Tamandua tetradactyla: one gene and its partner. Each later gene encodes a partner of the first gene's protein in a complex. Links are inferred from orthologs where the notes say so. Each region holds a gene or a part of one and is shown on either strand. Other genes may lie near its edges. The genes, in order: KLHL3 and WNK3.

Region 1 (15,256 bases):
CATCTCTTTGCAATTGTAAATAACGCTGCTATAAACATTGGTGTGCAAATGTCCGTTTGTGTCTTTGCCCTTAAGTCCTTTGAGTAGATACCTAGCAATGGTATTGCTGGGTCGTATGGCAATTCTATATTCAGCTTTTTGAGGAACGGCCAAACTGCCTTCCACAGTGGTTGCACCATTTGACAGTCCCACCAACAGTGGATAAGTGTGCCTCTTTCTCCGCATCCTCTCCAGCACTTGTCATTTTCTGTTTTGTTGATAATGGCCATTCTGGTGGGTGTGAGATGATATCTCATTGTGGTTTTGATATGCATTTCTCTAATGGCCAGGGACATTGAGCATCTCTTCATGTGCCTCTTGGCCATCCGTATTTCCTCTTCTGGGAGGTGTCTGTTCAAGTCTTTTTCCCATTTTGTGATTGGGTTGGCTGTCTTTTTGTTGTTGAATTGAACAATCTCTTTATAAATTCTGGATACTAGACCTTTATCTGATATGTCATTTCCAAATATTATCTCCCATTGTGTAGGCTGTCTTTCTACTTTCTTGATGAAGTTCTTTGATGCACAAAAGTGTTTAATTTTGAGGAGGTCCCATTTATTTCTTTCTTTCTTCAGTGCTCTTGCTTTAGGTTTAAGGTCCATAAAACCGCCTCCAGTTGTAAGATTCATAAGATATCTCCCTACATTTTCCTCTAACTGTTTTATGGTCTTAGACCTAATGTTTAGATCTTTGATCCATTTTGAGTTAACTTTTGTATAAGGTGTGAGATGTGGGTCTTCTTTCATTCTTTTACATATGGATATCCAGTTCTCTAGGCACCATTTATTGAAGAGACTGTTCTGTCCCAGGTGAGTTGGCTTGACTGCCTTATCAAAGATCAAATGTCCATAGATGAGAGGGTCTATATCTGAGCACTCTATTCGATTCCATTGGTCGATATATCTATCTTTATGCCAATACCATGCTGTTTTGACCACTGTGGCTTCATAATAAGCCTTAAAGTCAGGCAGCGCGAGACCTCCAGCTTCGTTTTTTTTCCTCAAGATGTTTTAGCAATTCGGGGCACCCTGCCCTTCCAGATAAATTTGCTTATTGGTTTTTCTAATTCTGAAAAATAAGTTGTTGAGATTTTGATTGGTATTGCATTGAATCTGTAGATCAGTTTAGGTAGGATTGACATCTTAATTATATTTAGTCTTCCAATCCATGAACACGGTATGCCCTTCCATCTATTTAGGTCTTCTGTGATTTCTTTTAGCAGTTTTTTGTAGTTTTCTTTATATAGGTTTTTTGTCTCTTTGGTTAAATTTATTCCTAGGTATTTTATTCTTTTAGTTGCGATTGTAAATGGGATTCGTTTCTTGATTTCCCCCTCAGTTTGTTCATTACTAGTGTATAGAAAAGCTACAGATTTTTGAATGTTGATCTTGTAGCCTGCTACTTTGCTGTACTCATTTATTAGCTCTAGTAGTTTTGTTGTGGATTTTTCCGGGTTTTCGACGTATAGTATCATATCGTCTGCAAACAGTGATAGTTTTATTTCTTCCTTTCCAATTTTGATGCCTTGTATTTCTTTTTCTTGTCTAATTGCTTTGGCTAGAACTTCTAACACAATGTTGAATAATAGTGGTGATAGTGGACATCCTTGTCTTGTTCCTGATCTTAGGGGGAAAGTTTTCAATTTTTCCCCATTGAGGATGATATTAGCTGTGGGTTTTTCATATATTCCCTCTATCATTTTAAGGAAGTTCCCTTGTATTCCTATCTTTTGAAGTGTTTTCAACAGGAAAGGATGTTGAATCTTGTCAAATGCCTTCTCTGCATCAATTGAGATGATCATGTGATTTTTCTGCTCTGATTTGTTGATGTGGTGTATTACATTAATTGATTTTCTTATGTTGAGCCATCCTTGCATACCTGGGATGAATCCTACTTGGTCATGATGTATAATTCTTTTAATGTGTTGTTGGATACAATTTTCTAGAATTTTATTGAGGATTTTTGCATCTATATTCATTAGAGAGATTGGTCTGTAGTTTTCTTTTTTTGTAATATCTTTGCCTGGTTTTGGTATGAGGGTGATGTTGGCTTCATAGAATGAATTAGGTAGTTTTCCCTCCACTTCGATTATTTTGAAGAGTTTGAGGAGAGTTGGTACTAATTCCTTCTGGAATGTTTGATAGAATTCAGATGTGAAGCCGTCTGGTCCTGGACTTTTCTTTTTAGGGAGCTTTTGAATGACTAATTCAACCTCTTTACTTGTGATTGGTTTGTTGAGGTCATCTATTTTTTCTTGAGTCAAAGTTGGTTGTTCATGTCTTTCCAGGAACCCGTCCATTTCATCTAAATTGTTGTATTTATTAGCGTAAAGTTGTTCATAGTATCCTGTTATTACCTCCTTTATTTCTGTGAGGTCAGTAGTTATGTCTCCTCTTCCATTTCTGATCTTATTTATTTGCATCCTCTCTCTTCTTCTTTTTGTCAATCTTGCTAAGGGCCCATCAATCTTATTGATTTTCTCATAGAACCAACTTCTGGTCTTATTGATTTTCTCTATTGTTTTCATGTTTTCAATTTCATTTATTTCTGCTCTAATCTTTGTTATTTCTTTCCTTTTGCTTGATTTGGGATTAGTTTGCTGTTCTTTCTCCAGTTCTTCCAAGTGGATAGTTAATTCCTGCATTTTTGCCTTTTCTTCTTTTCTGATAAAGGCATTTAGGGCAATAAATTTCCCTCTTAGCACTGCCTTTGCTGCATCCCATAAGTTTTGATATGTTGTGTTTTCATTTTCATTCGCCTCGAGGTATTTACTAATTTCTCTTGCAATTTCTTCTTTGACCCACTTGTTGTTTAAGAGTGTGTTGTTGAGCCTCCATGTATTTGTGAATTTTCTGGCATTCTGCCTATTATTGATTTCCAACTTCATTCCTTTATGATCCGAGAAAGTGTTGTGTATGATTTCAATCTTTTTAAATTTGTTAAGACTTGCTTTGTGACCCAGCATATGGTCTATCTTTGAGAATGATCCATGAGCACTTGAAAAAAAGGTGTATCCTGCTGTTGTGGGATGTAATGTCCTATAGATGTCTGTTAAGTCTAGCTCATTTATAGTAATATTCAGATTCTCTATTTCTTTATTGATCCTCTGTCTAGATGTTCTGTCCATTGATGAGAGTGTTGAATTGAAGTCTCCAACTATTATGGTATATGTGTCTATTTCCCTTTTCAGTGTTTGCAGTGTATTCCTCACGTATTTTGGGGCATTCTGGTTCGGTGCATAAATATTTATGATTGTTATGTCTTCTTGTTTAATTGTTCCTTTTATTAGTATATAGTGTCCTTCTTTGTCTCTTTTAACTGTTTTACATTTGAAGTCTAATTTTTTGGATATTAGTATAGCCACTCCTGCTCTTTTCTGGTTGTTATTTGCATGAAATATCTTTTCCCAACCTCTCACTTTCAACCTATATTTATCTTTGGGTCTAAGATGTGTTTCCTGTAGACAGCGTATAGAAGGATCCTGTTTTTTAATCCATTCTGCCAGTCTATGTCTTTTGATTGGGGAATTCAGTCCATTAACATTTAGAGTTATTACTGTTTGGATAATATTTTCCTCTACCATTTTGTCTTTTGTATTATATATATCATATCTGACTTTCCTTCTTTCTACACTCTTCTCCATATCTCTCTCTTCTGTCTTTTTGTATCTGACTCTAGTGCTCCCTTTAGTATTTCTTGCAGAGCTGGTCTCTTGGTCACAAATTCTCTCAGTGACTTTTTGTCTGAGAATGTTTTAATTTCTCCCTCATTTTTGAAGGACAATTTTGCTGGATATAGGAGTCTTGGTTGGCAGTTTTTCTCTTTTAGTAACTTAAATATATCATCCCACTGTCTTCTAGCTTCCATGGTTTCTGCTGAGAAATCTACACATAGTCTTATTGGGTTTCCCTTGTATGTGATGGATTGCTTCTCTCTCGCTGCTTTCAAGATCCTCTCTTTCTCTTTGACCTCTGACATTCTAACTAATAAGTGTCTTGGGGAATGCCTATTTGGGTCTAATCTCTTTGGGGTGCGCTGCAAAAATATGGAACGCTTCACGAATTTGCGTGTCATCCTTGCGCAGGGGCCATGCTAATCTTCTCTGTATCGTTCCAATTTTAGTATATGTGCCGCCGAAGCAAGCACATGTGAGACACTTTTTATAAATTTTATATTTGCAAGTGTTTCCTGTTGATTCTGTTTCTCTAGAGAACCTTAACTAATACAACTTGGTACCAGGATTGGTTCTTAAGAAACAGAATCTTAAAAATGGGTTTTTATGAATGGTTTTCTGCTCTGACTGGACTCAGAGGCACTAAGGACTCTGATTCCCATAATCAGAACGACACTCCCAATCCATGGAGTGAGTTGGCAAAAGAGATAGTCAAAATACCACCATTCGATTCTCCTAATGTTTCGCTTGTACGAAGCCAGGCTCTGGGGGATAATGTTTTTGACATCTTTCCGGAGTTTTGTGGAAATAAGAGGTAGAGATGTTGGCTGGTTGTTGTTAGATACACTGAATACATTAAGGAGTGAAAGGGATAGGCTTAAGACTTCAAACGAGAAGCTTAAGTGCCATCTGACAGATGCCGAAGTTTCTATGAGTATCCTGAAGGATAATCTTGTTTCCTGTAGCCGTAGGCCTGAGATCTCTGAAATTCAGACTCAGAATCTTGTTGTTAGAGTAGCAACTTTACAATGTAAACTGAAATCTCAATGTTGCATGGTGTCTGCTGAAAATGAGGGCATTGATTGGAAAGGAGTGGGACCCTGAAAAATAGGATGGTGACGTATGGATTAATAATGATGTCAGGGTGAGGTTGAAACCTTAGGTCATGCTGAGTCTTCTCCAGATAACCTGTAATAGTCTGCCCTGAGAACATAGCCACCCCACCTGCAGCCTGCCTTGCGGAGTTGGCCACCCAGCCTCCACCTGAAGGGATTAGCCCTAGAGTGATTAATCCTGTTTCACCAGATGAAACTGCAAATGAATGCCCTGAAGCAAATGGCTTGGAAGATATTTCTAATTCTTTTCATGACCCACCCCCACCACCCGTCCCTCATTTCTTCCAGACCTATAACTAGACTAAAGTCCCAATAGGCCCCTATAGGTGAGGTACAAAGTATCACATATAAGGAGGTGCATTATACTCCAAAAGAACTGTGTGAGGTTTCCAATTTATATAGACAGAAATCAGGGGAATATGTGTGGCAATGGATTTTAAGGGTGTGGGATAATGGTGGGAGGAATATAAGGCTGGGTCAGGCTGAATTGGTTGAAATGGGCTCACTAAGCAGAGATTCTGCATTCAATGTTATAGCTCAAGGGGTTAGAAAAGGTATTAACAGTTTGTTTGGATGGTTGGTTGAAACATGGATCAAAAGGTGGCTGACATTACCTGAGGTTGAAATGCCAGAACTGTCCTGGTATAATGTAGATGAGGGGATCCAGAGGCTTAGAGAGATTGGAATGTTGGAGTGGATTTATCATGCAAAGCCTGCTCTTACACCCCAGGAATGTCCAGAGGATGCACCTTTTACCAGAACAGTGAAAAATAAATTTGTGAGACTAATTCCATCATCCCTGAAGAGCTCTGTAGTTGCGCTTCTCTGTAGGTCAGATATTACTGTGGGAACTGCTATCACTGAGCTGGAATCCCACTGAGCTAGATGACCAGATCCCGAGTTGGCAGAAGCCAGGTGGCAGCACTTAATCACCAAAGACAGGGTAGATGTGGCTATTATAATAGACAACAAACTCAAAGCAGGAGTCAAAATTATATGACTTGCAGAGATTTGTGGCATTGACTAGTAAATCATGGGGTACCTATAAATACAATAGAAGGTCAGTCTACTAAATTCTTGTTTGAGCTGTATAAACATAAGAGTTCTAGGTCAAGTGAACAGAAGTCTAACCTGAATTACAAAAGCACAGAGCCACAGCCCCTTAATCAACTTCCAGATTTGAGACAGTTTACAGACCCAGAACCTGTTGAATGAAGGGGAGGCCAGGTTCCTTTGGGGGAGAATCCTGTTACACTTCCACAGATTTATACTGTTAATCTTCCTCCAAGCCTTCCCCGAGAAGACTGACGGCCTTTTACCAGGGTAACTGTGCACTGGGGAAAAGGAAATGATCAGATATTTCAGGGATTATTAGACACTGGTTCAGAAGTGACATGAATTCCAGGGGACCCAAAACGTCACTCTGGTCCACCAGTCAGAGTGGGGGCTTATGGAGGCCAGGTGACCAATGGAGTTTTAGCTCAGGTCCATCTCATAGTGGGTCCAGTGGATCCCCAGACCCATTCCGTAGTTATTTCCCCAGTTCCAGAATGTATAATTAGAATAGACATACTTAGCAACTGGCAGAATCCCCACATTAGCTCTCTAATTCATGCAGTGAGGGCTATTATTGTGGGAAAGGCCAAGTGGAAGCCCCAGGAACTGCCCCTACCTAGCAAAGTAGTAAATCAGAAGCAGTACCAGATTCCTGGAAGGATTGCAGAGATTACTGCCACTCTTAAGGACTTGAAGTGTGCAGGGATAGTGATTCTCACCATTCAACTCTCCTATTTGGCCTGTGCAGAAAACAGATGGGTCTTGGAGGTTGACAGTGGATTATTGTAAACTCAACCAGGTGGTAACTCCAATTGCAGCTGCTGTTTCAGATGTGGTATCATTACTTGAGTAATCAATACATTCCCTGGTACCTGGTATGCAGCTGTTGTTCTGGCAAATGCTTTTTTCTCAATAGCTATTAGTAAGGACCACTAGAAACAGTTTGCTTTCAGCTGGCAAGGTCAGCAATATACTTTCACTGTCCTATCTCAGGGATATATCAACTCTCCAGCCCTATGTCATAATCTTGTCCGCAGGGACCTTGATCATTTCTCCCTCCCACAAGACATCACACTGACCCATTATATTGATGATGTCATGTTGATTGGACCTAGTGAGGAAGAAGTAGTAACTACTCTAGACTTACTGGTAAGACATTTGCATGTCAGAGGATGGGAGATAAATCTGACAAAAATACAGGGGCCTTCCACCTCAGTGAAATTTCTAGGTGTCCAGTGGTGTGGGGCATGTTGAGATATCCCTTCTAAGGTAAAGGATAAGTTGCTGCATCTGGCCCCTCCTACCACCAAAAAAGAGGCACAATGCCTAGTTGGTCTCTTTGGATTTTGGTGACAACATATTCCTCATTTGGGTGTGCTACTCCGGCCCATTTATTGAGTGACCAGAAAAGCTGCTAATTTTGAGTGGGGACCTGAACAAGAGGAGGCTCTGCTACAAGTCCAGGCTGCTGTACAAGCTGCTCTGCCACTTGGGCTGTATGATCCAGCAGATCCAATGGTGCTGGAAGTGTCAGTTGCAAATAGAGATGCTATCTGGAGCCTTTGGCAGACCCCTATAGGAGAATCACAATGCAGACCCTTAGGATTTTGGAGCAAAGCCTTACCATCTGCTGCAGATAACTATTCTTCTTTTGAGAAACAGCTTTTGACCTGCTATTGGGCCTTAGTAGAAACTGAATGCTTAACCATGGACCACCAAGTTATCATGAGACTTGAGTTGCCTATCATGAGCTGGGTGTTGTCTGACCCACCAAACCATAAAGTTGGGGATGCACAGCAGCACTCTATTGTAAAATGGAAATGGTATATATGAGATAGAGTCAGAGCAAGTCCTGAAGGCACAAGTAAGTTACATGAAGAAGTGGCCCAAATGCCCATGGTCTCTACTCCTGCCACATTACCTTCTCTCCCCCAGACCAGAGCTATGGCCTCTTGGGGAGTCCCTTACAGTGAATTGACTGTGGAAGAGAAAACTCGGGCCTGGTTTACAGATCATTCAGCATGATATGCAGGTACCACCCGAAAGTGGACAGCTGCAGCACTACAACCCCTTTCTGGGGTGTCCTTGAAGGATGGTGGTGAGGGGAAATCCTCCCTTGGGTACAACTTCGAGCAGTGCACCTGGTTGTTCATTTTACTTGGAAGGAGAACTGGCCAGAGGTGTGTTTGTATACTGACTCCTGGGTTGTTGCTAATGGTTTGGCTGGATGGTCAGGGACTCGGAAAGGCCATAATTGGAAAATTGATGACAAAGACATCTGGGGAAGAAGTATGTAGATAGACCTTTCTGAGTGTGCTAAAAACATGAACATATTTGCGTCCCATGTGAATGTGCACCAAAGGGTGACTTCAGCAGAGGAAGGTTTTAATAATCAAGTGGATAAGATGACCCATTTTTTGGATACCAGTCAGCCTCTTTCCCCAGCAACTCTTGTCATTGCCCAGTGGGCTCATGAACAATGTGGTCATGGTGGTAGGGATGGAGGTTATGCATGGGCTCAGCAACATGGACTTCCACTCGCCAAGGCTGGCTTGGCTACAGCCACTTCTGAGTGCCCAATCTGCCAGCAGCAGAGACCCACACTCAGCCCCCGATGTGGCACCATTCCCCGAGGTGACCAGCCAGCTACATGGTGGCAGGTTGATTCGTTGGACCACTCCCTTCATGGAAGGGGCTGCGATTTGTTCTAACTGGAATAGACACATACTCTGGATATGGGTTTGCTTTTCCTGCATGCAATGCTTCTGCCAAAATTATCATCTGTGGGTTTACAGAATGCCTTATCCACCATCATGGTATTCCACACAGCATTGCTTCTGATCCAGGAACACACTTCACAGCAAATGAAGTGCGAGAATGGGCACATGCTCATGGAATTCTCTGGTCTTACCATGTTCCCCATCATCCAGAAGCATCTGAATTGATAGAACAGTGGAATGGCTTTTTGAGAACTCAATTACGGTGCCAACTAGGTGGCAATACCTTGAAGGGCTGGGGTAATGTTTTCCAGGAAGCTACATATGCTCTGAATCAGCGTCCACTGTATGGTGCTGTTTATCCCATAGCCAGGATCCATGGGTCCAGGAACCGAGGGATGGAAATGGGAGTGGCACCACTCACTATTACCCCTAGTGATCAACTTGGAAAATTTCTGCTTCATGTCCCTGTGACCCTGAGCTCTGCTGGGCTACGGGTTTTAGTTCCAAAAGGGGGAGTGCTTCCACCAGGAGAAACAGTGATTCCATTGAACTGGAATCTAAGACTGCCACCTGGTCACTTTGGGCTACTCATGCCCCTGGATCAACAAGCCAAGAAGGGGATTACATTATTGTCTGGGGTGATTGACCCTGACTATCAGGGGGAAATAGCACTGCAACTACACAATGGAGGTAATGAAGAGTTTTCTTGGAATATAGGAGATCCCCTAGGGCGTCTTTTAGTACTACTATGCCCTGTGATTAAAATCAATGAAAAACTGCAACAACCTAATCCAGGCAGGAATACCAATGGCTCTGAAACTTCAGGAATGAAGGTTTGGTCATCCCACCAGGCAAAGAACCATGGCCAGCTGAAGCGCTTGGTGAGGGTAAAGGGAACATGGAATGGGTAGTGGAAGAAGGTAGTGATAAATATGAACCTCGACCACATGATCAGTTACAGACACGAGGACTGTAATGCTGTTTTGTTCCTGTTATACTATTTAAGTTGTAAGATACCAAGTTTAAGAATGAATATTACCCAAGGATTTGCACCCTATTCTGGAGAGATTTAATGTGTTTCTAGTTATATGCAGGACAATTGAGTATTGTTAGGTGAAAGAAAAAATGTGTTTTATTGATTTTTATTTAGAAGTAAGTGTGGTTTAAGGTGATATGTATAGCTGCCAAGTAGACAAGAAGTGAACTGTCATGGTCAAGTTCATGTGTCAACTTAGCCAAGTGGTGGTACCTGCTTGTCTGGTTGGGCAAGTCCTGGCCTATCTGTTGCAATGAGGACATTTCATAGAATAAAATCATGATCACGTCCACTGCATCCACAGCTGATTCCATTTGTAATCAGCCAAAGGGCGTGTCTTCTGCAATGAGTGATGCTTAATCTAATCACTGGAAGTCTTTTAAGGAGGATTCAGAAGAGACAGGCTCTTCCTGCTTGGGCCGGCGAGCCTCTCCTGTGGAGTTCGTCCAGACCCTCCATCAGAATTGTCAACTTCACAGCCTGCCCTGCGGATTTTGGACTCTGCATTCCCATGGTTATGTGAGACACTTTTATGAATTTTATATTTGCAAGTGTTTCCTGTTGATTCTGTTTCTCTAGAGAACCCTATCTAATACAATATCATAACATAAAATCAATGTCAGATAAAATAAAAGCTTAAAATACAAAAATAAAAAATGTTAAGCTTTTATTAGAAAATGGAAATGAATATCTTTCTGTCCTTAGAGCAAGGAAGGGCACTAACTATAAAAGGAATTTTGCTTGTGGGATTTCTTTCATGAAGTTTTTCATCTTTGTGGGGTGCCTCCTCATCCTGATCTCATTTTCTGGCCTGAGATTTTCTTTATCCACATAGATACATGACTCTAATCATCTGCCTTCATGCATCTCTTGATATTTAGCTTCCTGTGCTCAGCTGACTTCCTTGTACCAAGAATCCAAACAGCCCCAAAGTTCAGATGACTAAGGCTTATGTTTGCATGTTGAATTGAAGGTGAGGCAGGGAGCCAAAGGAGGAGTCTGACATTATCAGACAGACAAACTGTAGGTCTGTCTTGTTCATTTTATTTCAGTGTTCCAATAGTTAGAAATCTGAGAGACTGTCAAATTTCTGCAATATTCTGTTAGCCACAGTAGCCCTTTTCTCTAGCCAGTTTGCAAGCCATGCACAGAGGAGACCCCTAGGGAAAGTCAAGGGATACTACTACCCCTAGTGTCCTAGAATTGGGGTGAACTGTGGGTCCCCAGTTCTACATGAGTGGAGAAGTTTCTGTTTCCCTATTAGCAAAGCTAAGCTGTGCCTGGTCTAAACAGACGTAACTTCAAATCCCAGACTTAACCTTGAAACTGAATAGTTTTCACTAGTTTGGGGAGAAAGTCTTTTCTTGTGTTCTCCTTTCCGCGTTCTTTCGATCTTTCCTTCCTACCCCCAGTGAAGTTGAAACATATTGGTCAGGAGTACTTGGACAGCTAGCTGATGTTTCATAGGAATCTGAATGTTTTGTCTCTTGATTTTAGTCTGGAAGGCTTTGAGATTATGGGTGACTCTGACTAGTAACCATCTGCTCAGTCAGCCCACACAGATAGCCCTTCTTTCCATAACAATTAAAATTCCCTGTCATTCTGTGGGATTATGGTTTCCCAAGAGCCTTCACTTTTATTCCTCTGTTCTTCATACCACAGGCAATGTGCTTTTTCTAAAGAACAAATTTGTTCACCTGCTTCCTCTCCTACTTCTCTGTTTAAAACCCTTTGACGGCTTTTCATTGTTTCAGCGTGAAATCCATACTCCTTAGCTTTGTCTCTAAGACCCTTATAAGACTGCTCACTCTTCTAGCCTTTTCTCTTGATGCTCTCCTCTTGTGCTATACTATCAAGTACTTTGGACACACTTTGATCTTTTTCTCTTCTGAGGTCTATATGCATACTGCTTCCTCTGCCTGGAATACGTTTTATCTTTTATATATGTATATATCTGATATATATATCTACTATATATATATATATATATATATATATATCAAATATATATCTAATTTCTGTTCTTCCTGTAGGTCTCAGCTTCCAGGAACTTTTCCCTTAACCTGCCAGCACTTGGTCCCAATTAAATATAGTACCTGCCACTTAGTAAGCTCTATTAAGTTTTTGTTGAATGCCCAAACATCCTTGTGAAGTGAATGGTATGGTTCTTAGCCCTTAGATGGAAGGATGTAAAATAAGGACCTTCCACAAGGTCACACAAGTATTTAGTGGAAGAAGCTGACCTAGGACCTAGTCCTCAGCCCTCTCAGGAGGAATGCACTTTTCATTGGAAAATCCTGCAGAAATGCCTGACCCAATGCATTTCCTTTCCTGCTGAGTCTGGGGTGAGAATGGGCTGGCAGAGATTCCCCTAGTGGGTAAGGAAATGCATGGTTTTGTGACAGTTGGACAGATGAATTTACCAATGTGTGATCCTCTCCCCTTCCTCTCCCTTCCTGCTCACAGCATCAAGCCGAGCTCCCAGCCACCAGCGCAGGCTGGGGATGATGAGAAGAACCAGAGGACGATCACAGTCAACCCTGCCCACATGGGGAAGGCGTTCAAGGTTATGAATGAACTGCGGAGGTATTTTTCCTTTCTTGCCTGTGCCCTTTCTGGGGAAACTTGGGGCGGGGGGAGGAGCGTCTTCCCGGACTGAGAGCAGGAGTCAGAACACCACCGCATAGAGCTAGCTCTGCTTCTTTCCCACCCACTCTCAGAGAAACGCTCCTGGTTTCTCTTTTAAACACTGATTGAAACAGAATGGTTTTGCTGGAAATTTCTCTTTTTCATTTTGTATTTAACACCTGTCATTTTAGTGTTTAATCACAGGGGACAAATCCTTTATGATTACAGCAGCTTTGTTCATAGACTTGATTTCTAACTGAACCAGCTGCTTGAAGACCAGTAATAGAATGATAGCAACACCTACACACAATTACAGATGAAATATTACTGATGCCACATATTTTCTTTTAGCCTCCCTCTCTCCTTCCTTGATCTGAACTTAGCTTGGCAAGGCAGTCACATGAATGTAGAATACCTAATTGCTCAAATGTGATTTAACTCTGTAAAGAAAGAAATGAAATGCAGATGTACTCACCCTCCACGAACTAAATCATTAGGGGAATGCAGGTCATTTGTAAGTGTGCCTTTGATGAGTTTGTTCCAAGGCAGGCTGAAAGCACCATCCCTGCATTTTTCTCTACAAAGCCTGTGTACGCAGCCAGCCTCTTCCTTAAGCAAAGAGCTCAGAAACTTCCCTTGCCCATACCATGATTTACCATATATTCCTCCTGTTATGAGCTGTGATCATTTATTTCCTCTTTTCTCGTTTAGTTTATCAGTAAGCTCCCTGAGGGCAGGGCCTCCTCTGAGTCATTTCTATCTCCAGCACCTGGCACTTCATAGGAGCTTCATTCATTTACCAAAAATGACTGGAGGCACACTGGCTGGGCCCTGGGGTGGGGGTAAAGTAATTAAAAATAAATCAATGAAAATGATCTTTCCACAGTGTATGGGTGTGTTATGAAGGAGGAATGCACCAGGTGCCTGACAGGTGGTAGGTGTGCAGTAAATTCCTGTTCCTTAAAGAGTGCTTTGAAAGCAAGTATATCACACTGGAACTTCAGAGAACATTTCCTAAAGAGGGTGATGGTTGAACTGAATTTTGAAGGGCAAGTAAGAGTTAAAGAGATGAAGGGTGGTGGGACAAGGGGGAGGCAGTCCAGGAAGAGAAAATGGCATGAGCAAAGGCACATGTATCTGAAGAAGTGTTTGTTGAATGGGAAATTGAGCTACTTTTAAACAAAAAATTCTATCTGATTCAATCCTCATTTCCTCAATTCTCTTTCTTCAGGGCCCAGTCTTTGGCATGAAAATCCAGGCTAAATTAAATTTGTCTTATGCCCCACTGCTCAATTTTTATTAGGCCTTCCGCCAGATTCCCTGGAAGCTCTGTTGATTGTTGTCTTATATAGCAGGCTATACTGATGTTCATACCTTTGTATGCTTCTCTTGTCACTAAAGAATTTATACGTCATGTTCCCTAGACACTATTGAGGTTCCTCATCTAGTTCACTTGAGTGTGGCTTGTGTCCTTTGTCTGATTTAAGACTCCAGGCCTCTCACCCAAACCTTCGTATTTTGCCTGGGATAGCCTACTCCCTTGAGCAGTGAGAGGGAGCACTCAGGGGAGAGATATGTACGCAGAATCTACCCCCCCCCCCCAGGCTCCGTTATTAGCATCCTTTCTTTTCTTAAATGAATTAAAAAAAATCATCCTGCTAAGTCCTCATTGCCTCTGTTGCAATTTGCTAGGTTTTTACACCTTTTCCCAAGAGAATCGACTTGGATTTAACTTCCTCCAACAGTTCTGTTTCCTCTTCTCTTTTGTATAAATCATTATTTGCCACAGTCTCTTCTGAGGGACACTGATTCTCTCAAGATGCTCTTCGGGAAAAAGGGCTCTGTGCCCAAATGTGTTTGAAAAATTCTGTATACTGTACACCTTCTGAGATTTATAATGCATATGGGGCATATTAAAAGCTCTGAGAAGTCCTGTAATAAAGGAACTTGTTTAACTGAAAGTTTCCTACAACATATTTGATATAGAACCATTTTGGTGGTTGTTGTTATGTATAGACTGTTTTGTGAAACTTGTTTTGGAAAATGCTGGTCTAAATTCCAAACATAGTCCTTTGCTGAAATTGAAGTGAGTAATAACTAACCTTGTTTTTCCTCTTTCTGTTTTTTCAAACGGACCACAATCTATGTATGTATTGTCTGAGAAAATTTTAGTTCAGTTTTGACATGGATGGTTAATTTCCCTTTCATTTTTCTCATGCTTTCTTTGGTAAAAGGAATATACTTATTAAAGAAAGTTTATAAAATGCAGATTAACAAAAGTCACTTATAATTTTATCATGTAGTGGTAACCATTGTTAACACTTTGGAGAATATCCTTATCTTTAAAATACATGTTTCAACCTGATTTTTCTCTTGACACTTTATTAAGCAAGTTGTTCTATGTCACTATTTTGCAATGTTATTTTAAGTGGATGCATAATATTCTATTTTTTGGTTTATTTTTTTCACATAGTTCCCCTGTTGGAAATGTAAGTTTTCCCAATTCCTTATATAAATGACACCTGCAGTGGTTATCTTTGTATCAGTATAGCATAGTGGTCATAAGCATAGACTCTGGAGCCAGAGAGCCTGTTTTCAAATCTTAATTGTAGGACTCACTAGCTTTGTGATCCTGGATAAGGTGATTAATTTCCCTGGCCTTACTTTCATTATCCATAAAATGAGGCTCTCAATAGTACCAATAAGTAAAGTGCTTAAGAACACTGACAGTGACAGCACCTGTGTTATTGTTGCTAAATACTTGAGCACATCCATTATTATTTCTATAGAATTAATTCCTAGAAGTAGAACTGCTTATTCCAATAGCAGCAGATTCAACAAGCATTTATTAGGTAGAATAATATAACAACAACAACAACAATAATAATACCTAGTCCTCCAGTATTGTTGTGAGACCTACCTGGCACACAGTTAGCATTATGTAAGTGTTAACCATTATTACTGTGATGTGTTAAGTATTGTGCTAGGT
Region 2 (15,382 bases), on another chromosome or scaffold:
GGAAAATTGCACGCAAAATTCTCTATTTAATCCTTTGAAAATCATTAGCAACAAGTTCTTCCCAACATTACAACCAAAATGGTTGAAGAATGAATGGCCAAAAATTTTCAAAATTTGTTGAGAGTTATAAAACCACAGATCTTTTGCTGTGTTCCTGACTAAAGTGTGAGCTCAAGTGCTGGGACTTGGCCTAGTTAAATCTTCTGTCCCTGGTGCCCACATCAACTTGAGCATATAATGGGTGTCAGTAAGTGTGCAACAAATTAATAAATTAGTGAACTTCATAGTTTCCCAACAAATATTTGCTGAGACTTATAGAAAGAGGATGACACAGTTCTTGAAAGTAGAATACCTTCAAGCATAACAATTGGCTTCCTTGTCAAGGGAGCTCCTGTTCCCAACAGGTTATATTGTTTCCAACAAGAAGCCAGCTATCATCCTGCCTTCACGTAGTTTTCTGCATGTTACTTCTGCTTGGGGTGTTTTTTGAGCATCTTGAATCTTTCATTTTACAATTTTCAACAAATTTGCAAATATTTCAGTCATTAGCTATTCAAATTTTTTTCTGCCCTTGCCCCCTTTCTGGAACTCCAGTTACATATATATTAGACTCCCTGAAGTTGTGTCTCCCAGCTCACTGATGCTCTATCCATTTTGCTCAGTCCTTTTTCTCTGTGTGTTTCATTTTGGATAATTTCTATTGCTACAATTCTTCTGCAATGTCTAATCTGCTGTTAATCCTATCCAGTGTATTTCTCTCCTCAGAAAACACATTTTTAAAATCTCTAGATGTTCAATTTGGGTCTTTAAAAAAAAATACCTTCCATGTTTTTTCTTTTTTTTTTTTTTTTTTTTAAAGAGGGAGGAAGGGAAGGAAAGAAGGAAGGAAGAAAGGGAAACATCTTTTAAACATTTTCTTGTTTTATTGTATTTTGTTTGTTTGTTTTGTTTTTTTTTTACATGGGCTGGGGCCGGGAATCGAACCGAGGTCCTCCGGCATGGCAGGCAAGCACTTTGCCCGCTGAGCCACCGCGGCCCGCCCCATGTTTTTTCTTAATATGCCCACTCTTTCCTCTTCTACCTTCTTCAATTTATATAATATATTCATAAAAGCTGTCTTAATTGCCTTGTCAATTAACTTTATCCTGTTTCTAGGTCTCCTATTGACTGACTTTTCCTCTCATTATTGGTCACATTTTTCTGCTATTATGTATGCCTGATAACTGTTAAATATATGACATAAAATTTTCCACTATAATCATTTTAAGTGTACAATTCAGTGGCTTCAATTATATTCACAATGTTGTGCAGCCATCACCACCATTCATTACCAAAACTTTTCATCATCCCAAATAGAAACTATGTACCCCTTAAGCAATAACTTCTCATCCCCCCTCCAGCCCTTGATAACTTTGAATGTTTCTTTCTCTATGAACTTGCCTATTCTGAATATTTCATATAAATGAGATCATACAGTATTTGTCCTTTTGTGTCTGGCTTATTTCACTTAGCATAATATTTTCAAGGTTCATCCATGTTATAGCTATGTATGAGAGCTTCATTCTTTTTTATGGCTGAATAATATTGCATTCTATGGATATATCATATTTTGTTTTATGGACACTTGGGTTGTTACCAGCTTTTGGCTATCATGAATAATGCTACTATGAACATTGGCATACAAGTATCTGTGTCCCTGTTTTCAATTCTTTTGGGTATATACTTAGGAGTAGAATTGATGCCTAATAACTTTTTATTAGATGCTAGACATTGAATTTTACCTTGTTGGGTTGTGGATTTTTTGGGTGTGGGTGTATTCCTTTAAATTATTTTGAACTTTGCTTTGAGACACAGTTAATTACTGGGAAACAATTTTATCTCTTTTGAGTTTTGCCTTAAAGCATTGTACAGTGAGACCAGAGTAGTCGTTAGTCTAGGGATAATTTTGCCTTGCTACTGAGGCAATACAACCTCTGATTACTCTTCTTGATGCTCCATGTATTGCAAGGTTTCTCCACTCTGCTAGGAATATGAATTATCCCAACTCAGTGTGGGCCCTGGGGAATCCTCCCCCCTCCTACCTGTTCCTTTCAAGTGATTCTTTCCTTGGCCTTGGTACTTTTATCATATACATGTATTCTCTAATGCTCACCTGAAGACTCAAGGTGAACACTCTGGAGGTCTCTGATGCACTTTCTCCATTAAGCTCTTTACTTTCCATGCACCTTGTCCCTCTCTGACATTCTGTCATATAAATTCTAGCCATCTTGGCCTTCCCCAATTCTCAGCTCCTCCTCTTCAACTAAGGGTGAGGCTCAAGCTCAATTTGGATTCCCCCTCCCTGCACTGTGGTCTAGAAACTGTACAGGGGCGAGCTGGGGCAACCATAGAAGTCACCTTATTTTTTTCTCACCTCGCAGGGATCATTTTCCTGCACTGCTTGATGTTCAATGTCTGAAAACCATTATTTCATATATTTAGTCTGTGTTTTCAGTTATTTAAGGCAGAGGGTAAGTCTGATCCCTGTTATTCAATCGTGGCCAGAAGTCCACTGAAAGGTTTTAAGCAGATAAGTGACACAAATGGATCTGTGTGTTACAAAGATCACTGCTGGCCAATGTGAGAAATGAACTAGTGCTACTAGGCCACAGGCAGAGAGATTAGCGAGGAGGCTGGTACAATTTAGTCCTATATAAGCATCATCGTGGAAATCTGGCAGCAAGAAGCACAAGCTCAGCCAGTCCCAGGACAGGTTTCAGGTTTGGTCTCTGTGAAGGAGGGCGACAGGTGAAAGCAAGACAAGCCCCAGTCCCAATACACAGGGCAGATTATGTATATGGCAACAAGCCAGGGCATCAGTCACTGAAACTGGGGAACCAGAAAATAAATAAGTTTCAGAAACCAATTGTGGAGAAAAAAAGTATGCAGAAACAGCTACCAATGTCAGGGTCTGACATTTTAGCTTGTGCTCTGATAGTCTATGACTGAGTGAATGTAAGCCTGACAGCTTGTAGCACTTATTGCAAGGAACATGTACATGACAATTAGTTGTTCAGTACTTTGTGACAATTCTTGAATTATTATTTTCCTTTTCACTTGTTTATGTGTTATCTCCTCTTCTGTATTCTAAATCCACCAGAAGTCGAGACTATAATTGCATGCTTGTCTTTCTTACCAGTAGCAGCATTACTATAATTATTTTTCCCAGATTTCCTGACAGTCAGTCCAATACTCTTTTTTAAGTATATCACTTAACCTGCATTCTGAACAGAAATAGTTTATCAAGTGCTCCTTGTTTTATGTAAGGATGTGTTCTTGAAAAAGCATGCCTGGCTTAAAACTGCAGCTCAAAAACAATTTTCTCTCAAGAAATTATTGTAAAAGACTTCATTATAACATTTCCATTTTGCATGCATAAAAGTTTTGCTATAAATTTTCTTCATTAAAATGCTCTACAAAATCACAGAAGTAACATGTGCTAACCACCCTTAAACACATACATACTCCTAAATGAGGTAACCAGTATTAAAATTATGGTTTAGAGACCCTTTTGCAATTTCCTCCAGATCAACAGGTACAAATCCAACTCATTATTTTTAATAGCTGTGTAATATGCTTTAGTGTGACTACACCACAATTTATTCAATCATTTCTGTATTTATGGACATGCAGGTTTCTTGGTACTTTTCTTTCTGTAGGATAGATTTCAAACAGTGGGATTGCTGAGTCAATGGGTATATAGCAGGCACCGTGATTGCCTAATCATTTGGCATTTGGCATTCTCCTCCTTCTTTCTTGCAAACAGAATGCTGGTTTTGTTCCGGTATTAAGTAGAGAACCCTTGATCTCAAGGAAGGTGGCCCCAGTCCCTGGTCTTTAAGTGGTATGTCATCCAGTTATGGCAAAGGAGATATATGAATGAGTTTCCTTGGAGATATCTGGGGAAAAGTGTCTTCCCTAAAAAAAGTACAGATGTGTATCTTTTGCTTCCCTGCCCACTGCTGCCCCCTCACCCTTTTTTTCTGCCTTTAAATGCAATTGTGATGTCCAGATTCAGTAGCCCATCTTGCAAGGATGAAGTAAAAAGCTTAGGGACAAAAAGGCAACTTGTCAAGGATGGTGAGAAGGATGGAAAAAGACTAGGTTTGTGATGACCTTGTTAAGCAGCTGATCGAATGCTAGCTAGCATCTGTGTCCCTCCAGATTTCTTGTTATGTGAGAAAGAAAAACAAACCTCTATTTGTTTAAGACATTGTTAAATTTTCTGTGACTTGCAGCTCAAACCATTCTGAATAGATACTGTGGAATTTTTATTGTTATTTAATTCTTCCAGATTACTTTCCAAAAAAGGTAGTAGTGATTCATACTCCTATCAGCAATGGATAGATGCAGGGAAATAGACACTCACCTGGAATTTATTTTTGTATATGGCATAAAGTAGGGATCTAGCTTTGCTTTTATCTAGTTGGAAAGCCAATTTTGAAAGCACTGTTTATTAAATAAACTGAGATATTTTTGTATTTTCTATAGTTGTTGCTTTCATTTTCTATATCTTCTTTTCCCTGCCTACTCTTCCCAGGTCTTATTGTCCCAGGAGAAGGGATATGGCAAGACTAGAAGATTTCATCTGCCAGTGTCTTTGCTTTTGTATTTCAAAAGCCCAAGTCCTTAGGGGAGAAGAATTAGGGGCATAGACAAAGTGTCTTGGCCAGAAAATTCAAAGTGAGAAGGACTGTATCTAGGCTAAAAAGAGATTCTATTCTTTTCTTGCTCCCTAGGGCTGGGGTTAATGTAATGTGATCAGGGAGATCCTTGGGTCCTGGGTAGAGGGAACCTGTGTGGTGCTTCCTGGCATTGTCCCTGCGTAAACAGCAAATCTTGAAGAGAACAGAGCCTGTGCAAAAATTCCCAAGCAGGGTCCTATAGCAACAAAGCCCTGCCAGAATATTGTGGGCAGAAGCAATGGACTTCTGACTGCTAACCTGTGTTGCTTGATGACTAAGGATTTAATGGGCTCTTGCTCCAATGCCTCAACAATGTATAATAGTCCAGAACTGTGGCATGAGCCTGGGGTAGAGGAACTTCAAGAAGAACTGAGGTTAAATTATGTTGTCAGCCTCATGGAATGGGGAGCTTGATGTCCAAAGTTAAATGGAATCACAGGCAATACAGAAAGATATAACAAAATGATTAAGAGCATGGACACTGAATGGGTTCAACTTCTAGCTCTGTCACTTAATTGATGTGTTACTCTGGGCAAAGTTATTTCACCTTTTTTGTGCCTCAGTTTACTTATTTGAAAAATTATGTTAGTAACGGCATTTACCCAGTTAGATTCAATGGGCTTGTATAAAGTATATAGTAAATGCTATTTAATTATTAGCTGGCATTATTATTATTATTATTTACCTTAGTGGGTGACTAAGAGTCATATCTGCTACATGAAGGATTTGAGAAATGCCAATGGGCTGTGACAAGACTATTCAAAGACTATTACGGAATGTTTGGGACAGAGAGAGAGAGAGGGGTGAGTGAAAGTGAGGAAAGGAGGGACACAGATGCTAGCTAGCATTGGATCAGCTGCTTAACAATGTCATCACAAACCTAGTCTTTTTCTGTCCTTCTCACCATCCTTGACGTGTTGCCTTTTTGTCCCTAAGCTTTTTACTTCATCCTTGCAAGATGGGCTGCTGAATCTGGACATCACAATTGCATTCAAAGGCAGTCTTAGCCCAGGAGACTGAATTCTCTGGTTTCCACAAGAATATCCTAATATCTTATGCCAGCCTGAATATTTCTAAAATGTATCTTTACCTGGAGAGGGAAAGGCAGTTCCAGTAACCCCAACTCAGTTTCTGCAGCCTGGGCATGTGGGGAATTTGCAAAGGAGTTAAAAGCTTGGATACTGCACATTTAAGAGAAGTGATGTGGGCTTACTCTTTTTCAAGCACGCTGTCCAAGGGTCACTTTCCCAGGCAAAGGCACTCAATTTCCCTCTGATGTATGTCTTGGGACATATGGAAAGACTGTGTTTAGGAATAAGGAATAGGAGACCAGACTCTGCAACTAGGTTAGAAAAATGATATTGCCCAGCCTTAAAGGTGCAGTGTTTCTAAGTCAGTAATTAAGCCAAAGACAGCTGCTCACTTCTGAGGTAGGTGATGCTTATTACAGCTTGCTCTTACTCAAGGGACATTCAACTTGTGCTGGGAGGAAAGACAGCCTCCTGGGAGGACATTAACAAGTCCCAGATGATCCCAGTGAGAAATTCCCCCAATGCCAAAGCTTTGTGAAAGAAAATATTGCCCATACATTCAGGCCCTGAGAGCTAATGTCTTGAGCAGGGGACACCTGGATGAGAAGTAAATGCTTAGATTTATTGAAGGGAGAATATGCCTGCAATATAATTATGGGAAATAAATGGATCTTTTTTCTTCCTTATATTTTGCCTTTTTAAAATCTTTCCAGTGCCCCCTCACCAGTATATTCAGCTTTGCAATGTATCTGCAGGGAGGTGGCAAGGAAGGAAAACATATACTCTACTAGTCTCTCTGGATTTTGTGTTCTAAAAGCCTAAGTTTTTAGAGAAGAGGGACTAGGGTGCAGGAGCAGAGACAAAGTATCTGGGCCAAAAACTAGAAGAAAAAGATTTACACAAATCTAAAAAAAGATTCTGCTCTTTTTCATTCCTCCCTTCTTGGGGGGAAGAGGTGACAAGAGCAGACAGAGAGAGTGCTGTGAGAGTTAAAGCAGCATAGCTCAGCTTCCCAGAAGCAATATCTGATACATGGCAAGACTCAAGAGAGGAAAGGCTGTGTAGAATGTTTAGACAGACAGACCAAGAGATGGCCTCAACATAGAATTCTGTGCACCAAGTTTGGCAGAGATGCTGGAGAGGACCACAGCACCTGAATGACCCATGTGGGCAGAGAACTCAGCAGTAACTGACTGGATCTAAGGACAGGAAAACAGATACCCTTACTCCACCCCTACTGCCTTCTTTCCAGGTAACTACATATTCCTCAAACCTGGGTTAAGAGAAATGAACTTCAAGAATGATATTGTTTTCCCAATCACTTGGTAAAAGAAGGGTTCAGAGAGAGAAACTGAGTTCTAGAAACAGTCACATCTCTAACCATGGCTGAAGTAGTCAGCTAACTGTAAACTCTGAGGCTCATCTTGGCTCCATTCTTTCTAGAAGTTACCATTCTGTGTAGTAGGAAGAAGAGAAAAAGGTAGTAGGGCCATGAAACTACCTTTTCCACCCCAAACCTGTGGGATGCTAGGGTCTAAAAGTGGTTCCAGTGAAGGTTTTTGTAATTTCTTGGCACCAGAACCTCCAGATAGATGAACTAGATTATCGGAAAGATGTTTTCCTGGAATAATATAAATACAAATTACAAGTGGTTGATAAAAGTAAAGTTTGCTGTTCCATGAATAGAAACCTTACAGATGCCACTTGAGAGACAGTGGGTAAGACGGGAATGTTCGTTTCCATAGATTGGTAAGCAGCTATAATTGCCCTTTCATTCTATAGCAGCATTTGTGCTGAGTTATGGATTAGGTTATTGCAAACAGAAGAGCACATAGGTCAATAAAAGGTCTAAAATGAGAAGGGTCTGTACTTGGATAGGGAGGAGACTTGTCCGATTTTCTAATTTCTGAAGTTTGTAAAAGTCACACTGATTTATGGTTATTAAACAAATATTTGACTGTCAAAGAGCGAATGCTCAGACAGGTTCAAATCTGAGCAAGGTGAAGGGCTGACATTTCCAAATATTGTTTTATATTGATTGCATCATCAGGTACAGAGGCAAAGGAAGAGGCCATAACTGCGGGGGGGGGGGGGTGGCGGGGTGCCTGTTACTTTTTGTAAAGGTGGACGTGTGCGGTGCTGGTGGGAGTAAGGCAACCAAGAGAAAAAATAAAGGAGTAAACAAGTTTCTAATTACCATCTCAGTGGGAGCCAAGAATTACAAAGACTTGGAATAACTTTGTAACCTTTGAAACCATTCCTTAGAGGCTATTTAGCTACTGTTATTCTATTTTTCCACAGTAGTCAGCAATTCAATAGAGAAATAGCACTATTTTTTGCGCCAGTGAGGAAAGGAGTGTGGGAGACCCCATCCGTTTTATAGCTAACTGGGAATGCAGAGACCCTTAAGGTAGAGTGGTGGCACTATTTGGAGAAAAACACACCTTGCTCTTCCAAATTTGGTCAGGAGGCTGTTCGCAGGTGGAGTAGCTGGACTTTATAGCCCTGATTCTTGTTTACTCAGAGTCTCCCCTCATTATCAAAATTGAAACATGGGAGTTTGATTTCATTAAGGGCATGGTCTGGTTTTCTTACATGCTCAAGCAATTCTAGCATTAATAAACGACCTTCAAGAAGAAAGGGGCAGAGACAAGAGACAGGGCTACAAGGCCTCCCTCCATTCAGTCCACTGACTTTGGAAACCTCAAGAGTTAAATTTATTGATGAATTTTAAAGAGCTGAAAAAAGGCTAACGTTCTGCGGCCTGCAACAGGAAAAAAAAAAGAAAAAGAAAAAGAATGTATGGGGAGTGGTGGTGGTGGTGGGAGAGGTTGGCTCAGCCCTGTGATATGGCTCTGAGGCTGGGTAGTTGAAAATATTAGTTTGGTAATCCGACCCCCCCCCCCCCCCCAAGGCATCCTGCTAAGGCCTCAAGGGCATGTGGGGAAAAAATCTCACCCTTTAGGAGCTTTCATTAAGGGGCTGGGAGATTGGAAAATGCAGGGGCGCTGCAAGGAAGCACACCTGGGTTCAAGTTCTGGCTCCACTATACGTAATTGTGTGAACTTGAGCAAGTCATTTTCCCATCCAGAGCCTCAGTTTCCTCCTCTGGAGAGCCGGGATGATCGATGTGAGAATGACAGAAAAAAATCTGTACTGCGCCTGACACAGCACAGGAAGCTGTTCTTAAATGAAGCCAACTGGCTGAAGTTAACATGTCATGAAAGCTCAAAGGACTCAGCATTCACTATCAACTAGAGGATCTGATTGCTTCTCAGGGAGGTGGTCGTTCGGAGACCGTGAGAGCCTGCCTAAGAGGGAGGTGGCCTTTCCGCATGCGCGTAGCCTAGGAGCCCAGCAGAGTAGCGAGAGGGCGGGACAAGGCGTCTTAGGGGTTGCTATGGTACCCAGGGGCCAGGGGAGGTGAACCGAACCCTTACAACGTGACTCCCTTCCCTCCCCACCACTGCCAGGGCCGAGGGCCATTGTTCCCGGCAAAATGGCGTCGGTAACTTCCCCCCGCCCCAATTCCCGGCCCGAGGTCTAAAGTAAGGCTGGGGGTGGGGGGTGGGGGTGGGGTGGGAGTGGGACTGGAAGTGGGAGCAAAAACTACAATTCCCAGGGTACACCGTACCCGTCTGCGAGGCACAGGGCACGTGCCCAGGCCTAGCGGTTACATGCCGTCAAATATCGGTTTCATAGCTTTTCTTTCCCATCACTGCTTTCGTTGTCTTTCAGTTCATGCGCGCACAATGCGATCCTCGGGCGGGGAGGGGGGGCATATGCCATGGCTGTTGCCCTCATAATGTAACCGGGAGACCGGTATTTATAAATCTGTGCTTCGACTTCTAATTCCGAAGCCTGCAGGTATGAGTCTCGCGAGAAAAGTCGGGAGTTGGAAAAAGGGACTTTGGGGTGGCAGCCGAAAAGGTGCTGTTGGGTACCACATGCCGGCAGAGGTACCGCATTTAGAGGCTTGGGGACAACTGAAAGTGGGTGGTGGGTGGCTAGGAAGTGGCGTGTGCATTGACTCTTTTTTCTTTTGAAGGGGGAGGGTAAAACAACTGATGACGAGAGGGAGAGCTCCTTAATATATAGCAGATATGCGTCGTTCCTCACTGATATTTTCATTTTGGAAAGAGCAGCCTTTCTCCTCGACGCGCATCCTTCTCTCCCGCTGCGTTGAAGAGGGCGGGGGAGAAATGCGCATCCTGTAGTTGGCTAGCCAAACGGCCCCTCGCAGCGATAGGGGCAGTTAGGAGTTGGGGCTGGTCTGTCGGTTTTCTCCGCCCCTCACCCTGTCCTTAGCCCCGTCCCCTCACTTCCCCGCCCCCCTCCGCCCCTCTCTCCTACCCAGCTGAATTCCCTAGCTGGAGTACGCGTGCGCCTTCTCTGCTCCCAGGCGTGCGCGAGCTTTGGGCTTGTACCCCGCTCCCCTAACCCCGCCCGCTCTTTACCTACCATCCCTGGCTGGTCCGGTGGGCTCCTGGTGGAGACGCTCGCGCGCGCACGCGCGCAAGACGCGGAGCGGTGCTCCAGACATCGAGGAGGGGAGAGTAAGAAGCATCGGAAGAAACGGGAGAGGAGGAGGTGGTGTGCGTGTGTGTTTTACGGAGAGGGGCGAGCAGAAGCTTCAAAGAGGGCGAGGGAGAATCGTAGAGAGTCCGAGTCTCCCTCCGCGAGATCCTCTAATCTGGTGAGGGTCCCGGGCCGTTTTGGACGCTGGGAGAGGAGGAGGCCGGGGGGCGTGTCTGAGATTGGGCTGAAAGATGAATGGGCCAAAGATGAATGGAGAGAGGCAGCGGCGGCCAAGAGTCTGTTCGGAGTAAGAGCTTTAGTAGGGGACAGCTTGACCCAGGCTGGGTGATTGCAGTAACCAAGAGTCTCGGATCTTGGGGTTTGTCGAAGCTGATGTTTAAGTGATCGAACACAGGCGGACACGAAAATAAAGAGGGGGAAAGTGGGGAAGGGCAGGTTTGAGATTTAGGTGCGTTTTTTGTTATCTTTTTTGAGAAGGGGGTGAGGAGGAAGATGGCAACTTTGGGAGTTGATGGCAACAAGGGAACAGGGGAAGATGAGTAGGATATAGGAGGGGGGGGACTAAGAAACAGTTGACAAAGGACCGAGTGATCATTTAAGTGTGATTGAGGCCGCTGAAAGGGTAGAACGCTTCGGGTGTGGGAAGTTGAGTAAGGTTGCAGTGGGTTATATTGATGGGAATGGGGCGGGGAAAGAGTGGATTTAGTTTAAAGGTTCAGTTGATGTATGGGGGTCGATAGGACTATTGGCTGGTTGTGTAAAAATATGTTAGGTTCAAGCAGATTGAGAACTGTTATTTGAAAATGGGTAATGCTTTCTGTGACGGGCAGATTGGGGATAGGGAGGAGAGGGTGTATTAGGGTTAGAATGAAAGTGGTGAAGTGACTGTACTGAAAGAGGTTTTATTTATGTCGGTAAAAATCCTGCACGTGCCTATCTCCGTATCTTGGGAGTTGATAGACCTTGTTAAAATGAAAGAGTCCTCAAAAAAAATTTAAAAAGAGAAGTGGTGTGGGTATTCTTTTTAAAGAGTTACTGTTGTTGAGTGAAGCAATTATATGAATGAAGTCTTGGATTCTGAAAATCTTCTGTATAGTAGAGATTACATCCAATTTTGGGAGACATTGTTACCTTTTTTCATCTATAGCAAGTTGTTATACCAAGAGAACATTCGAAGAGGTTTCAGTATATATAACACTGAGCAGCAGGTGTGTCTTGCAGACAGTCTCTGTATTCTTTGTACTGATGAGTTTAAACTGCACAGTCCAGAGGAAAGACCTTGCATTAAAGGATAGCTAAAATGCACAACAGCTGATTTGAACACTAAAATAAACATGCATGTGATTCTTTTTGTCATTCTGAATTTACCTTGTTTGCAAATTGGAGCCTGTTTTTTGATGTGAGTTCAAATTCTAGCAGATAACTTGGACATTTTGTTCTCTGAATACATTGCTTGTCTTCTGGTAAAGATGTAATGGTCTCATTCTGTTCTGTGTCACGATTAATAGTCTATGGATTTATAACTTTTCATGATTATATTTACAAACTTTGTTGACATGTATTCATTTATCTTGACAATGTTGCAAACTTGAGGACATTCCCATGCCGTTTTTCTTTTATTCTTTTTTGATGTTGGAAAGAGTGTAATTTCTGTTTTGGCTACCCAGAGTTTGAATTCAAAAGTTAGTAATTCTGTTCATAGTATCTCTAGTTGAGATGAATAGTTAGTGTATTGAGAAAGTATCCAGTACCTGAAAATGTTGCACCAACTCTGCTTAGCAAGGTTGTCTTCCAATTTTGAACTAAATGCTCCTGTAGTGGAGGACATTCAAGGCATTGAGGTTTGAAAGCATAAGCTTGGTAAATCTGGGGAGTGGAATCTTAGGTTGAGGCTGGGGTTGGGAGTTAGGAATCCTTGGCTGTTTTTAAGAAGTTACACACATAAGCAGATTTGTGGGGTTTGTCTCTTTGCCTGTGCTTGTGATGCCACCTTCTGCCTGGAATCCTCTTTCTCCCCCTCCCTTTCAATTTGAACTCATTGTTTGAAGACTTACCTCTGCAATCACCTATTTCCAAAAGACTTTGCTGTGCCCCCTTCCTTTTCTAAGCACACTCCACCAAGCTAGGTTAGGTGCCCCTCTTTAGAGTTCCCATTATACCTTGTGCATATTTTTATTACTGTACTTCTGTTGGAATGAAGGCAGGAAAGGTATTTTCCTCCTTTTACCTGAGAAAGAAAGTAAAGTCTACAAATAGTAAGACTTACACCAGTAAGTAAGTGATAGACCCCTGTCTTCTAGACCAATGCTGATCCTCATATGAGGATAAGTCTTTATTCATTGATGTAATTATCCTGTAGTGTTTCAGGAGTTTATTTTCTTTAATGCTGATTTAACTATCTTCCATAAAATAGAGGAGTTTCTGTCTTCACTAGGTTGCTTATCGCTTAGCCAGAAAATGATCAAGTCAATGTTTGCAAAGAACCAGAATAGTCAGGAGTAAAGAAGATGAAAACTGTTATGTACTCGCAGATTTATAGTCTGGTAATTTAATTAAAAAAACATTAATGAAGGGTGTAAGTTTTTGTGTATATGTGTATGGGGAGGGGGAGGTGGGCAATCGAAATTGTATGTAAGAAAGAACGCTTCCTTTTTCATCTCCCATCTTCGGATAAATAGACCAACTTTATTTGCTGAAATACTTGATTACTTCTCTTGGCTAAAAGCCAGAATTCTTTCAAAGGAGTGGGACTTTTCCATTTTTGTTTGAGACCATAAAACTTATGGCAGTGTTAGAAACTACTTAATAATTGTAATAGATGGCTGTAAAAGCATTCATTTAGAAATTCACAAAGGTTCAAAAGTGGAATTTGATATGATATTTTATTGTTTTGGTAAAACTTGTCATGAGAATTTGGTTTGGAAGATGCTGAGATTGACTTACTGCAGAGGTAAGCCTTTTTTACAGAAATATATTTTTGGATGAACTTTCCTTTAATAGAAATGAGTTATATATTTTTTGTGTTTTAGCATGATAACTTGAAAAAATGTTAATTGTGGTAAAATTCACATAAAACTCACCTTTTAAACCATTTTAACATGTACAATCGAGTGGTATTTAGTACAGTCACAACGTTGTGCATCCATTGCCACTATCTAGCTTCAGAACATTTTCATCACTCTAAAAGGAAACCCCATACCCATTAAGCAGTCACTCCCGCATTCCCCTCTCTCCTCAGGCTCCCCTCCCCGGGGACCTCTAATCTGCTTTCTGTCTCTTTGGATTTGCCTATTCTGTACATTTCATATAAGTGGGATGATACAATATGTGACTTTCATGTTTGGCATCTTACATTTAGCATAATGTTTTCGGTGTTCATCCATGTTGTCACATGTATCAAAACTCCATTTGTTTTTATGGCTGAATAATATTCCATTGAATGGCTGTACCATGGTTTGTTTATCCATTCATATGTTGATGGATACTTGAGTTGTTTTTACCTTTTGGCTACTGTGAATAATGTTGCTATATACATTTGTGTACACGTTTTTATGTGAACATATGCTTTCATTCATCCTGAGGAAATGGAGTTGGAATTGCTGAGTCATATGGTAATTCTATGCTTATCTTGCTGAAGAACTACAAAACTGTTTTCCACAGAGGCTATGCTGGTGCAGTCCCACAAGCAATGTATGTAGGTTCTGATTTCTTTATATCCTCACCAATGCTTGTTGTTTTCCATTTTTTGATTAAGACCATACTAGAAAGTGTGAGGTGGTATCCCACTGTGTTTTGGATGTGCATTTCCGTAACTGACTAGTGATGTTGAGCATCTTTTCCTGTGCTTGTTGGCCATTTGTATATCTTCTTTGGAGAATGTCTGTTCAAATCCTTTGCCCATTTTTAAATTGGGTTGTCATTTTGTTGTTCAGTTGTATATATATATATATGTTCTGGATACTAGACCCTTATCATATATATGATTTGCAAATATTTTCTCCCATTCTGTGGGTTGTCTTTTCACTTTCTTAACAGTGTCCTTTGATGCATAAAAGTTTCTAATTTTGACAAAGTCAAATTTTTCAGTTTTTTTCTTTTGTTTTGCTTGTGGTTTTGGTGTTTTTATCTAGGAAACCATTGCCAAATCTAAGATCATGAAAATTTATCCCTATGTTTTCTTTTAAAGAGTTTTAGCCCTATATTTAGGTCTTTGATCTATTTTCAGTTAACTTTTATAATAGTTTGAGGTAAAGGTCTAACTTCATCCTTTTCATGTAGATTAACTTGAAAATTTAAAACTATAAAACATAATGCACAGTACTGTATGTGTATAGTCGTTAAATGAAGATATTTTTTGGCAATATCTAATCACTCTGGTCAGTTGTACCAGAGAAATGTTTCTAAATTAGTTTTTGAAGTTCACTTGTATTTGAAGAGGTGGGATATTCTAAAGCTCTTTTGTGAATCACTGAGACTTTATGATAAGGGAACTTCAATTTGTCAATCCTTATCCTAAAGTTGTATAAGTGATTTTTTAATAAAAATAATTATTTTTGATTTCTGATTTTGTGTAGGACAAAATCTTTGCTTAAATCTAGGGAAAAAAAACCCAGAATCTATAATTATCATTTTATTTAGCCAGAAATTGGCATTAGATTTATCCTAAAAGCAATCATATCCATGTGTTATATCGTTTATGATTCTTCCGATGTGAAACTTTTCCAAATATTTTGAGTCAATTTCTTAACCAAAACTGTACTAATCAATGCCTTGCTTAGGTTTTAGCTTAGACTTCACCTATATATTATATTTATTCAGGAATAATGTAAGATAAGTTACATTAAGATTAGTTACTTGTAAAAATGAAAATTTAGTACGGTATAATTGTTCAGTACATCACAGGCTCTCTAGTTAAGCATAATTAAATTAGGGTCATTCGAGTTTTTTTAAAGCTAAGGGATATGTTTTAACACAAGAGTGGAAAAATTGCACTTGATCACTCCCAGGATCTATGACGTGATAGTTTAGCTCTGATTATATCCCCTGCTGCCCACAAAATAATTTTATTCCTGCTAGGCCTTTGAAGAT

The links.
Region 2: the proteins of KLHL3 (region 1) and WNK3 are in contact, whole or in part, in a crystal structure (PDB 5NKP), measured with the Homo sapiens proteins. The link is inferred for Tamandua tetradactyla from reciprocal best matches to the Homo sapiens genes KLHL3 and WNK3. Residues at the interface, in NP_059111.2 of Homo sapiens: Lys312, Arg339, Phe355, Gly357, Arg360, Thr386, Phe402, Gly404, Ser405, Gly407, Ser432, Ser433, Tyr449, Gly451, Arg454, Cys456, Ser481, His498, Arg528, Tyr577; in NP_065973.2 of Homo sapiens: Glu537, Cys538, Glu539, Glu540, Thr541, Glu542, Val543, Asp544, Gln545, His546.

The regions. Positions count from the first base shown.
Region 1 is NC_135346.1:17,186,163-17,201,418, reverse strand, and holds the start of KLHL3 (kelch-like protein 3), read left to right. Parts: upstream 1-7,455; 5' UTR 7,456-9,991; coding exon 9,992-10,158; intron 10,159-12,105; coding exon 12,106-12,225; intron 12,226-15,256. UniProt on the Homo sapiens protein: Substrate-specific adapter of a BCR (BTB-CUL3-RBX1) E3 ubiquitin ligase complex that acts as a regulator of ion transport in the distal nephron.
Region 2 is NC_135353.1:114,428,318-114,443,699, forward strand, and holds the start of WNK3 (serine/threonine-protein kinase WNK3), read left to right. Parts: upstream 1-9,190; 5' UTR 9,191-9,303; intron 9,304-9,534; exon of another isoform or gene 9,535-9,714; intron 9,715-10,115; exon of another isoform or gene 10,116-10,451; intron 10,452-15,382.